3 linked regions of the Arabidopsis thaliana genome follow. The protein of the gene in region 2 interacts with the protein of the main gene of each other region in a pairwise test. Each region holds a gene or a part of one and is shown on either strand. Other genes may lie near its edges. The genes, in order: LBD38, TLP7 and AT1G44830.

Region 1 (4,226 bases), on a different chromosome or scaffold from region 2:
ATTAGACACTAATTAGATGTAAAAAACAGACGAGATTGAACGAATGATGATACCCGGTTGTTGATAAAACTTGAAATGGTCAGAACTAAAAACTTATATTTTTCAAAAATAACATAAAGAGTCCGGTGGTCGGAAAAGGAAAGGAGAGTGACGTGGACCACAAGCAATTGTTTGCCCACTAGTGACTGGCTGGTCGAAAGTATATTTAAAATATGTCCCACTTCATAAGATCTTCAAATCACTTCTTCTGTTCCAACAACAATCCATTCTCATTTCAACGTTTCAAAAGCAAACATGTTATTGGTCAATTTCATTGTTTCTACGCCATCATCCATAGAGCAACAATACCTTGTTGTTTTTATTAAACAAAATGTGAAGAAGAATAGAAGAACAATAAAAAAAGAGTGCTTTTGAAGATTCCACGAAGGTATGAAGTGTGACATAAACGGCTCTTTGCGTCGTCCAAAAGCCGCCTCCCCCAAAAGCTTTCCCTTTATAACCCCAACTTTTTGGGTTCAACCCAACTACATGCATTATATAATGCATATCTACTCTATACATACAATTACTTATATTATGTAATGCACCTTGTTTAATCTTTTTTAGAGTTTGTATTCATCCGGAGAATGTGTGGTAGACTAATCTTAAACATAGAAAGAAACACATGAAGATGTACATATGCCATTGAGAGTGTTGCGAAGAAGACCGTTGCAGTACTAGTATAGGATAATTTGAGATATCACAAAAAGATCATCACATCTCGAGGAATACGTACTATTGTGTTATACTATTACTAGGTATCATTAAACCATTGAATAACAAATGTAGTATCGAAAGACAATAAACCTGGAGATAATAAATGCTAATATTTTGTTTTGCGAGTAGTAATCAAGATGATTATCAAAATAGCAAGTTGTGTATGATTGTGTGTACATTACAACATGTTGGTCCTTAAAGAATCGAAATATGTTGGGTGCGAAGACTTTGCCGGTGCTTTGGATTTGGAGAGATGTATATTTTGACTCCGATTCGTGATTATTATTATTAATGTTGAATATGTCGATAAAAACAAATAATTTAGTAGCTAATAAGTATTGATTTATCGTACACATTATCATTGTTATCTTTTAATTTGAATTCGATGAGAATGATGATTAATTGATTATGAACTAAAAATAAAATAGTACACCACCGACGAATTATATCATTATTCTCTATTACTTTGGATAATTTCTCATAATTAAAGAGAGAAATAAATCACGTAATTTGCTACATTTCACAAAATATTAAGGGCTATTAATCCAAAAAAGGCCACAACAAAAAGTTACTCGAAATTACATTTTTAACCCTCATAACAAAAACGACGCCGTTCAAGCGAAGAGATTGAGCAACTTTGTCGTTGCTCCTCCTCCTCCTCCGCCGCAGCGTACGTACCGATCACCGGCGTTGTTGTTTTGAAACGAAACCGTGGTAACAGACTCCTCCGAGTACATCGACGGTGTATCTTCCTTAAACGGCAAGGTTTTAATCGGATAAATAGGAATAAGAGAGAGATCAAGCTCCGACGAAGGTTGTTGTTCCGACGATAATCGTTTCCGTTTCGGCGGAGAAGCTGTTGATCTTGATCTAGATCTAGAGCTTGAGAATCGGCAGTGATGATAAATGTTCCGATCACCGGAATCATCAGCTTTTCGTAGATTCAACATTTCCGTACAGATCTCCGAAGCTTCGTCGGAAGTAGGAGACGGAAACCCGGCGAATCCACCGCCGTTAAGAAGCTCCGGTATTGGTTTTAAAGAACCACCACGAAGCACCGTCTCAACCGCCGCTTGACAAACATTCCAATTCCCCGTCCACAACAATCCGACGGCTCCGTTCACCGGATTCACAGTTCTCCCACAAGCTTCGTATAGCAAAGACTGAAACAAAGCTGTAAAAAGACCAAATACCCTTACCATCAGAAACCAAAACGACAACGTTTAGACGAAGATCTAAAGGACCGAGAGGTTTTTGTTTTTAAGTACCAGGGCATTGAGATTCCGGTACGGCGGAGATGAAAGACATTAAACCGGCACGGCCGAAGAACTTAGCGACGAAGACGGTGGCGTGGCCTTGAGCTTCAGGTGATTCGATCCATTGAATACATGGACGGAGGATGCAATTCTCACTGCAACCTTTTCGTAGAACTCGACAACCATTGCAACTCATTATTTTCAGAAATCTTTTAAGTTAGTATTTTATCTTTGGTTTTGCTATAATCTTGGAGATTCAAAAAGCTTTTGGTACAAGAAAGAGAAAGAGAGAGAGTGGGACAAAGTGTTTCAATGTTTGGTTGAAGAAGAAGAGTTATGTAATATTTATAGACAATAGACATTGATACTTGAGTGAAGGAATGGGTCATGGCTTTGAGATTTTATTATATTTTAATAAAAATTGGATAATAATCAAAGTTTAAAGAGCCCTACCAAATTACAAAATAGAATGATTGCTACAAAATATATTTATTTTATCATTAACTGAATTTAATTTATGCTATAGTTTATACAAAAAAAAATGTTATGTTAGGTTTAATTATGAAAGTTAAAAATGGTGTGTGGTTGTTGACTAGTTGGTGATGAGGAGAGAGGAAGAAAGAGAGATTCCAAGGTGATGGGTGCGAACGGCTCCGTGTCCCCGCGAATAGTTGCCTCCTCAACCATTGGTTCTTTTTTTCTTTCTTTATAAATTTCTCATTTCTATTCTTTTTCATATTCTTTACTTGCTTCATTTCTATATAAATGTTTGCGTCATGCATGAACGATCTCGATTATTTGATGGCAGATCTCAATTCTATCTATCCAGTGTTTATTCGTTGACAAATTTTTCGAATCTTCATGTCTCAAACAAAAATCAGTGTGATTAACATATATTATCGATTATCGGTGTAAAGAAAAGAAAAAAACCTAGCTTCTCATCTAACAACAACAAAAAAAACACATAGATTCTCAAATGAAATAACGCACTTCAATTTCAAAATTGAGATTTATAACTAATTAGATCATATTCTCTCTAGTTCGCTATTATTTGTTGAGCTATATAAGTGCCTCTCTTAAACTATTGGTCTCTATGAGTTTTATAAATATAGATATGGTTCATTCGTTCATGCAGTACGTATACTTTGTAAACAATTTATTTATGAAACCAATGAGATTGTTTTGTTTAGGGTTAAGGCTAAGCTGACCCTTCAACGAAACAAATCCACTACCTGACCCTTAAATCAACCTTAAGGGTTTTGATAATTTAATATGAAAAATGTTTTAGAAGAAAGATAGAGGCGTTTTTTTGCCTACGATGCTGTCTCACGTGTGTGACCAAATCAAACATTTCTTTTCTCCTTTACATTAGCTAGTAACAAAATCAAATATATGATGAACAGAAGATCTACAACAAAATGATATTAATAAGTCAAAGTGTCTTCTTCTACTTTCCTATAGCAATGCGGTGAAACGGCGCCGTTCATGGCTTACGTGGTGTGCTTACCTACACTCCAATTAGGCAAATTTTCCACTGAATGCCGCCGTCTCTTTATATTTCTTTATTCCCAATTACTTCAGTCCATTAGTAATTTAAAAATGCATTATTGTTTCGTTGAACTTCTGGTACCTAAAGTTCATTTGCTTAATTAGTCGACACAAGACACTTGAACGCGACAGTTTTGATCAACAACGACATAAAATTGGTGTTAAACAGATGCTTAGATGTTCGATAAATCAACTACTTATTTTTACAACGGTATTCCTATTTTAAATATCAATCTTATAACATAATTTCAATCTCAATTTTTGAAAATTAGTATTGTTTTGTGGCCCTTCTTCCAAAAATTTATTTTCTGAAGTGAATGCAACAAGATAGATTTTACCTTTATATATTTAGTAAAATCAATGTTATAAAATAGATTATAAGTTAGACGTACGGCAGAACACAATAGAAAAAATATTATATATACTTCAATGTTTATGATGTACAGTGGGAAGTCATATTGCATACAATAGAAAAACCAAAACTATTTCTTTGAAAACAGAACAAAAACAATGTATGAGACTTGTAAACTATTGAGAAGAAATGAAAGAAATTGTCAAATAGAGGTTGCACAAATTGCATTCCTACTTACATTCATTGATGTTCATTATATTATGCTATAAAACCTAATTACATGGTTAGATAAGGTGGGTTTGTGGACTTGTATT
Region 2 (5,001 bases):
ACTTACGCGAGTATCGTGATTAATGCCGTTATAAATATTTTTAGCAAAAACTATACTTTTAACTGAAAATCACTTCTCTTGGGTATTTAACTTTTTCATCTATAGATCGTTTTCCTTTTCTGATGAGGCTTCACTTAATTACTATAGTGTGGCTATGTAGTGATGTGTACAAACTACGGTTCTAATTAAAAGAAATGAACGATTAATTGTACATTATATCCTAATTTAAGAAATATTGAACGATAAATTTGGAAAACAAAGAGAAACCTGCCCTTACTTATCCTTAAGAGTTAAGACTAGGGCATGCGAAAGTATTCCACACCAATAATAGTACTAGTACGCTCATTTCACATATATTGATATATATAAACAAGATCCAGTTGTAAAATACAAAAGAATATAAAACCGAAAAGTAAAAAATTATAAAGAAGTTTTTCAAATCGACTTGTCAGACATCGAACCGGCTCAAGTTCCAAACCAAAAATATGCGACTTTTTTCTTGTGTATAAGCCAAAAATTAAAAATATGTTACTTAAGTCTTGCTATTCATTGCTGACAAAAAGAAAAAAGTCTTGCTATTCATTGTTTTTGTATATATTTTGCAAATAAGTCATGTTTCCAAAAAACCATTGAAGTCCTACTTTGAAGGAATGTGAAGTCCCAAATTCTATTCAAAAATAAAAGAAAACCACATGGGTATACTTAAGAGATACATTATGATTATGGGTTTTAAATAATGTTTCTTACATAATAATACTTATGTGCTTCTCCTTTCCACATACCTTTGTGTTTACACTTACACATGATTACATCAAAACATTACATTTTTGCAAAGCCAGTTCACTTTTTCTTTTCTGTTGCCTTTTGTTGGGTTTCACTCGCAGGCAAGTTTAGTGCCGAAACTTGTGAGACAGATAGCAAAAGCCTGAAATGCAGAGAGAGGCTGTCTATAATCCATAGTGAAAGTGTCATCTCCCACTTTACCAAACTGTAGAAGAACTGTTTCTTCATCGCCTTTACCGCTCGGTTGACTTTGGTCAACGGTCGCAACCAGCTGAAAGTTCTTGACCGAAGCAACAGTAACTCGTCCATGGAAGTTCAGACACCAGCACTGCAAGTGCTCGTGCCATCTAGGAGCTTTGTTCTTTAGTATTGTCAAGCTGGAACCATCCTTGTTGGGTTTTTTCATTATCTTGGTTACATCACATGGCTTTTGGTCAGACGAGAGTCCAGCGGATGATGATGAAGGTGATGGTGATGGGCATCGGAGTGTGCTTACCATTCTTCTTGGACCTCTTGATTTCAAAAGGTTGAATTTATAAGAAACATGACCGACTTCAAAGTTGCCTGCTGGAACTTGAGGGCTTATCTGCTTTGATGCAAATCTGCGACTGGCTTTGCCATTTGAAGGTTTTGCTCCGTTGTGTGGTGGTTGGCTATCGTATACTGTAAAGTTGGTCCCAAGAAAATCTGATCTGTTGAAGTTTCCAAAAAAAAACCATGAACCCTTAGTTTTCAAGCCACACTCATCTTCTAAGCAAAAAAAAACAAACCTTAAAACAAATTTAAAACTTCTGAGATAGCAATCCTGCTTTAGAGATTAAATGGCCGCCTAGCCGCCTAGGATATTCAGTAATGCACATATCAATACCTTAATTTTCCGACGTAGGCATTACTTCCTTGAGAGAAATCATCAGCATCAAGTGATATGATGTACTCAGTGTAAGCACCGGTCCTAAACCTCCGCGCCGCCAGAAGAAACTTTCCCTTATCAGTGAATGCTGGTGAACAGAAAATACAAACTAAATTAATAAATCCTGAAAATGATCCTTTTGCCAGCAAAGGAAAAATTTACTTAACTTGTTCCAAAGCAGTTTGCTCTTAAATTTAATATAATGATATTTTCATTGAGTTTGGAATGAAAATATAACTCAAAATATCATTCAGTGATGTCAAGATACCCGAATATAGATAAAAGGATTAACAATGCCTAGCAAACTACTTCACAGGTCAACTCCTATATTAGACTGCAGCTCAGAATTTTCTTCATCATCAACCAAGGTCAACAAAAAAGTCAATACTTATTAATGGCAATTGGTTGGTAAGTTGTTTCAAAGACAAGGCATTACTAGGTAAAAGACTGAGACAACCTTAGGAAGTCACTAATTCAATCGTTTTCACACTTAAAAAGCCTATCTAAAACTTTCATTTCAAGCCATATATACTTTTCTAATTTTGACTGAATCAACAATAAGAATGAAGCAAAAGGAAAAGTAATACTTTTGAAATAACTTACATGGTGTTAGAGCAAGATACAAGTAAAACGTTGATGTCTTCTTGTTCCTCTTTATCAAGCACTGATTAGAAAAGTCTCTAGGACCTGGCTGCATTTCAAAATACACTAAACTATCTCAATTCTCATCCCATTTTTTTTTCCAATTGCTCTTAACAAAAGCAAAGCCACAATAGCATCTATAAAGGCATATTAAGCTAAAGCAAGAACAAATACCATTAAGCGAACAAAACAACTGTGAATAGCTTTCAAATGACATGATCAAACGCCATCAACTTGACAGAATATTCTTATAAGAAGCTTGATTTAGGTAATTCAACAGTGTCTCTATAATGTGAAAGAGATAACAAAACTCACAGATTCACCTAAATCGATTCCTAAATCAGAGAACACGAAACCTAATTTGACGAAACAAAAATCAATGAAATGGTAAAATCAATACAAAAGGCGTACCAATTTGAGGCAAGAAGGGAAAGTAATTTTGCCAGAGTTAAGAGAGGATCTAGCGAAATCGTGAGTGATTTCTCTCCATTTCTTAGAAACGCAAGCGCAAGTAACTACATCACGACGTTGAGGCCAACGGTCCTCAGTCTCCTCCACGCGACGAATGATCTCGCCTAATAATTCAGGGAGCATCGCCGACCATGACGAAGAACCGGCCATATTCGACGGCGGAGGAATCGATTCGGATTCCGGTGCCGTCGTTGTCTCTCCCTGATGAAACCTAAAAGAGTTCGAGATCCTCCGCGAAAGGAGGGACCGTGACAAAGGCATTTTGTGAAGAGAGATGTTTCGATCTGGAAATAGAGAGAAGAGGGGAAGAGAGAGAAAGGGATGAGATTTGTTTCTGGGAAAAAAAAATCTATATAATAATTAATACCAACGTGCGAAATCTAGAAGGGAGTGATATTTTTGGGTAATAGTGACACAGCTGTGATATACGAATAAGTGACAGATCTTTTTATTTGGGACACGTCTCTCTACTTTATAAGTGGTCGAAAAAGTGAGAAATCTAAACCGGAAACGACGACTAAACCGGATACATGATGTTATTTTTTCATAGCACATTCAATTTAAGTAACACAGAAAAATCTTATGACTTGTGTAACTGAGGTTGATAGACGAACATTTCGACATTTGTTAAATCTGAATTTTGTTCAATCTTTAAGAATTAAGATTATGGATTTGGTTTATGATAACTCATTTTGTGATATTAGAAGATTCCTTATTTTTATTGAAATGAAATTACTTGTTTAGGATTTAGTAATTTATTTTTATCACTTTTTGCCTTTTGGGCTTGTGTAGTTGTAACTTAGAGATTTTTTTTTTTGGTTATAATGTTAAGATTTTATACCAAATAAACAAACGTTTACAACTTGTTCTAAAAGATTACAAAACACATCCTACCAAAAAAATAAAAAATAAAAGGATTACAAAACACAACCCAACATTTGTACAACTTATATATTTTAACATTTGTACTTCATAAAATTCAATATTGGTAATGGTACCACGTCTGTTGTTTACGTTTTAGAAAAAGATAGATTTTTAGATTGTTTATTAATGCTATAAACTGTCATATCTAACAATAAGATAATTAATATAACTAGCCCAAATAAACGTTAGTAACACCACCGCTTTGATCATGAGTTTCCGGCACCTGAGCTACTATCTTCGCATCCCACTCTCTTGCATGGTGGTTGACACGATCCCAAGCATCAATAACACTTTTACGTGCAGTAATTAGAGCTAGTCAGCTCTAAGCTAATTGACTAGATTTTAAGTCATGGACAAGTGATCGAATACTTTAAGATCTCTCTTCCTCTCCAAATATTTGACATAAAATCAAACATAAACTCGCTCAAGCCTAACTGTCCTAGACAAAACTATACCATAAGCTGGCAAAACTACTTTGAGTGCAATTGATTACTTGTGATAGACACAACAGCTACTAAAGAAAGACCTCCAACCAACAAACTGATTTCATCAACCCAACTCTTGAAAACAAACCTTGAGATTGGTATGGTGATTTCAATAGCTTTCAAGACTAGATAAAAAAACAAACAAGCCTCTAAAGATAACTAGGCACACATTTGGCCTCTCCAGGTTCGATCATGGGGATGGAGAAACAAGAGTTGGTATGTTCACGTTGATGTCATATCCCTACTTCTCGTAATTTTCTTGAAAACAAGACCACTCACTATGGCAGTAACCAACTGGGCATGAAGCAACTTGGACCTGAAAATTTGAAGGAAACTAAAAAAAAAAGAGTAAGAAAATAAAATATACAAGAAAAGAAAAACGAAGAGAAGTTTACCTATTTATATGTTCATGAAAAGGAAGGAGCCATTTCTCTAGATGTTGTTTTAGTTTGAGAGAAAGAAAATGATGATATAAACCAGAGTAAGAGATGGTTGAGACTTAGAAAACAAACCATTATATAAAGTGAAGAGAAAGATTGGTAACGAATAAAAACGAACTCCAATAAATAAATAAAACAAGAAATCCATAATTGAAAATCAAACTTGTAAAATTTCTTCTTCTTTGTTCACTAGCTTCAGCAAAAGTCTCTCAAGGAATGGAGATCAAACTGGGAACATAGGCACAGGATTGGAACGTACATACAACTTCATCTATCTTAATCTTTTTGCACAGATCTCCCCTCACAATATAGACCCAAGCTTGTTTAGGTTTCTTGGTAGAAAAAC
Region 3 (3,178 bases), 3.0 Mb from region 2:
CATCTCTTGTCTCTTCTCTCTTTTTCCTTATCTTTCTTCTAAATAAATAATATTTATACACTTACTCTATTCAACAATAATTAAGTAGGATTAATCATCGCCTTCTATGACAAGCCTCATGAAACTTGCTTCTTACTCTTTGACTTTGCAAAACTTTTCACATGAAAAATCTGCTTTCTGTTTAACTCATTAGCTAATACTTTTATATCCTTAATAAAGAAAAATCATATATACAGTACTTATATCGCATAGTCATCTTACCACCACTTATTTTGTATCATGTACACATTTACATCAAACAGTGTTAGTGTTAAAGTCAGTAACGCCAAATTTTGCATTCATACTATAAAATCTGAAATGATTGTTTTCAACACTAACTCTTAACTTTTAGGTTTCAGAATTTAATCAACAACAATATGATTCTGTACTTTTTCGTTTTTACCTTTTAACTTGTTATCATTCGAAGTTCTTTGTTCAAAAGCTATAAATCTATTTCCATACTTAACCACTACTACTAGATTTAGTGAACTCTTAACATGAAAAATATCTAATTTCAAAAATAATTTAGATATTGGTACAAAGATCCCCAAATGTTCCATACATTGTGAGAATTGATAGAAAAGGGAAGAAAAAAATGTATAACACATTGTATAAGTTACATAACTCAAGTATATATATTGAAACAAAGAATAAGGTATAATGAAAGTAGAATCAGCAGAAGTTCCATAATCTGATATCTCCTTCCTCAAAGAAATCATCAGAAAGTGATGTTGTCAAATACGGCGCGGAGACTCCATTAATGAACATGAACTGATCATCACCATCAAAGCAGTTGTACCATGATGATGATTCAGACAAGGAGACTTGTTGGTCATACTGTGACATGGAGACAACATCATAGAGATCTTCAGATGGAGAGGAAAGCAATGGAGATGAAGTAGAGACTGATGATGAGGAAGGATCTGTGTTGGCAGCAGCAGCTGCAGCTGCTACTCTTTGTATAGACTTAGGGGACATGTCATTGTTGTTATCACCATTGTTGATAATATGGTAGAGAGAAGTTGAGATCTCTGGGAAGTTGAGATTATTAGCTGAGGATCCTTTAAGACATAGGAGTGCTGCGTCGTAGGCTCTAGCCGCGGCTTCAGCAGTTGAGTAAGAACCAAGCCAGATCCTTGTCTTTTGATTAGGAGCTCTGATCTCTGAAACCCATGAACCCCAACTTCTCATTCTCACTCCCTTGTACTTCTTCATCCTTATGGATGATGATGATGTTGATGAGGATGATGAAGATGATGATGATGGAGATGACATTCTCTTTGGTGTCTTTTGAAGTGTTTTCACCATTTTTGATACTAATTAAGGGAGGAAGTTGGAGGAGAAGAATGGTGTGTTTCTATTTATAGAGAACAAAAATGGAAAGAGAAACATAAAGAACTCAAAAGAAAAAAAAATACTATGAACATAGTCAAAGAAAGTAGCATGGGGCACACACAAAGAGATTAATACTTTTCTTTTAAATAATGTAAGAGACAGGTGTTTTTAATTTATTTATAAAAAAGATTTTCCTTAATCACAATCCCATATGCTACACCCAATCACAGATCACTAATAAGAGAATCCCTATTTTTTATTTTCAAAAATGCATATTTATTGATTTGACCTCCAAGGCTCCAAGCTAATTCTTTAGTTCCACAAAAGTACACTATTGTTTACAACTAAAAGTTACTACTTCTTGAGCCTCAGAATCTTGAATAAAAATGTAAATAACAAAAATCAGTACTCATATGAGAATATTAATATCAAGATACGACAGAAAGTTATAAAACATTATAAGAGGAAACATTGGATTCTATTTTTAGAGGCAACTTCTAGGAGCTAAGAGCATGTGATTTTTTAAGGTACAAACAAAAGACAAAGTTAATCATAAGAATAATTTAACTATCGAATTATTTTGATAAATGAGATGCAAAATGAAATCACATGCATGATTATAGATATATATATATATATATATATAATACAAAAATTACAAGTTTTTTTTTTTGGTTAAAAGGCCTAAACATAATTCAGAATCTTAAACGTTAAAGTAGCTGAAGTCATGTTTACCAAGGTAATGCACAAGAGCTGGTGCTCTTCTGTCTTAATGGGACTTTTAAAACCGCGTTAACTAGCTCTTTGTGTCTCCTTGTCACACGTAAAATTCTCTCTGTAAAAAGGCTTTTACTAAATTAATTAAATTCAGATTCTTTTGTCAAACTGCATTGTAATATTAAATAATATTGTACTACTAACTAAATAAACTAAAGTAAAATCGTCAAACCTCATAATAGTCTTGCACTGTTTATTAACTAAACTAATCTGCGGTTATATTTAGTCGGCACTAGAATTAAATTAAGACGCGTAAGAGTACTACTAAACTAATCTATTCGTGTTCACGTTCTAGCCAGACGACTCTATTTCTTTTTTCTCTTTTGGGGTACTATAATATAACAATAATGAAGGTTTTTTATTCATATCAAGAAACGAATCAACAGAATTGTTCGTTGGAAAATGCAGGCAACATTTTACAAAAGTTTATGATAAAACAAAACCAACAATGTTCTACCATTTTTATATTAATATTTGCACTCAATGACTGTAATTACAAACGTGGTATTTGAATAAATAATCAAATTAATTCCATCTAAAGAGAATGATTCAAATTTTGACTATTTTACTTTCTTTTAAGAAAAATAATAGTTATAACTAAATCTTACGTGACGAATTCTTTAACATTAGTATTCTATGTGCACATCTAATTTATCAAAATGAAGTTTTTATATGTTTTGGCTCTTATATCTACAACTTGTAGAACACATTTCCTCTACTACATTATTTTCGTTATGTAGACATCTAATTTATAAAACATATTTATGTTTTTGTCATATAATCATGTTATCTATGTTTTTGGATATATCTATATTATTTAGCGGGTTAAAATATTTGTATATCCAAGCTTATCAAATAAATTATACTTTTCAAAGTCATTTACGGAAAAAAAACATTTTACATTTTCTCTCAATATTTTACCAATATGACTTTGCTATTTTCTAAAAACAACTATAACATTCTCATTCACCGAAAGATATCTCCATTTCATACCATTTAACTAATTCACTATTTTACATTTATTTTT

The links.
Region 1: the proteins of TLP7 (region 2) and LBD38 interact in a two-hybrid assay, tested with the Arabidopsis thaliana proteins (one large-scale study listed by BioGRID).
Region 3: the proteins of TLP7 (region 2) and AT1G44830 interact in a two-hybrid assay, tested with the Arabidopsis thaliana proteins (one large-scale study listed by BioGRID).

The regions. Positions count from the first base shown.
Region 1 is NC_003074.8:18,512,447-18,516,672, reverse strand, and holds LBD38 (LOB domain-containing protein 38), read right to left. Parts: upstream 2,408-4,226; 5' UTR 2,209-2,407; coding exon 2,025-2,208; intron 1,931-2,024; coding exon 1,371-1,930; 3' UTR 542-1,370; downstream 1-541.
Region 2 is NC_003070.9:19,890,363-19,895,363, forward strand, and holds TLP7 (tubby like protein 7), read right to left. Parts: upstream 3,143-5,001; 5' UTR 3,068-3,142; coding exon 2,747-3,067; intron 2,385-2,746; coding exon 2,297-2,384; intron 1,782-2,296; coding exon 1,652-1,781; intron 1,476-1,651; coding exon 875-1,475; 3' UTR 573-874; downstream 1-572. Other genes in the region: AT1G53325 (F-box associated ubiquitination effector family protein), read right to left, coding at 4,865-5,001.
Region 3 is NC_003070.9:16,931,961-16,935,138, reverse strand, and holds AT1G44830 (Integrase-type DNA-binding superfamily protein), read right to left. Parts: upstream 1,441-3,178; 5' UTR 1,348-1,440; coding exon 712-1,347; 3' UTR 571-711; downstream 1-570.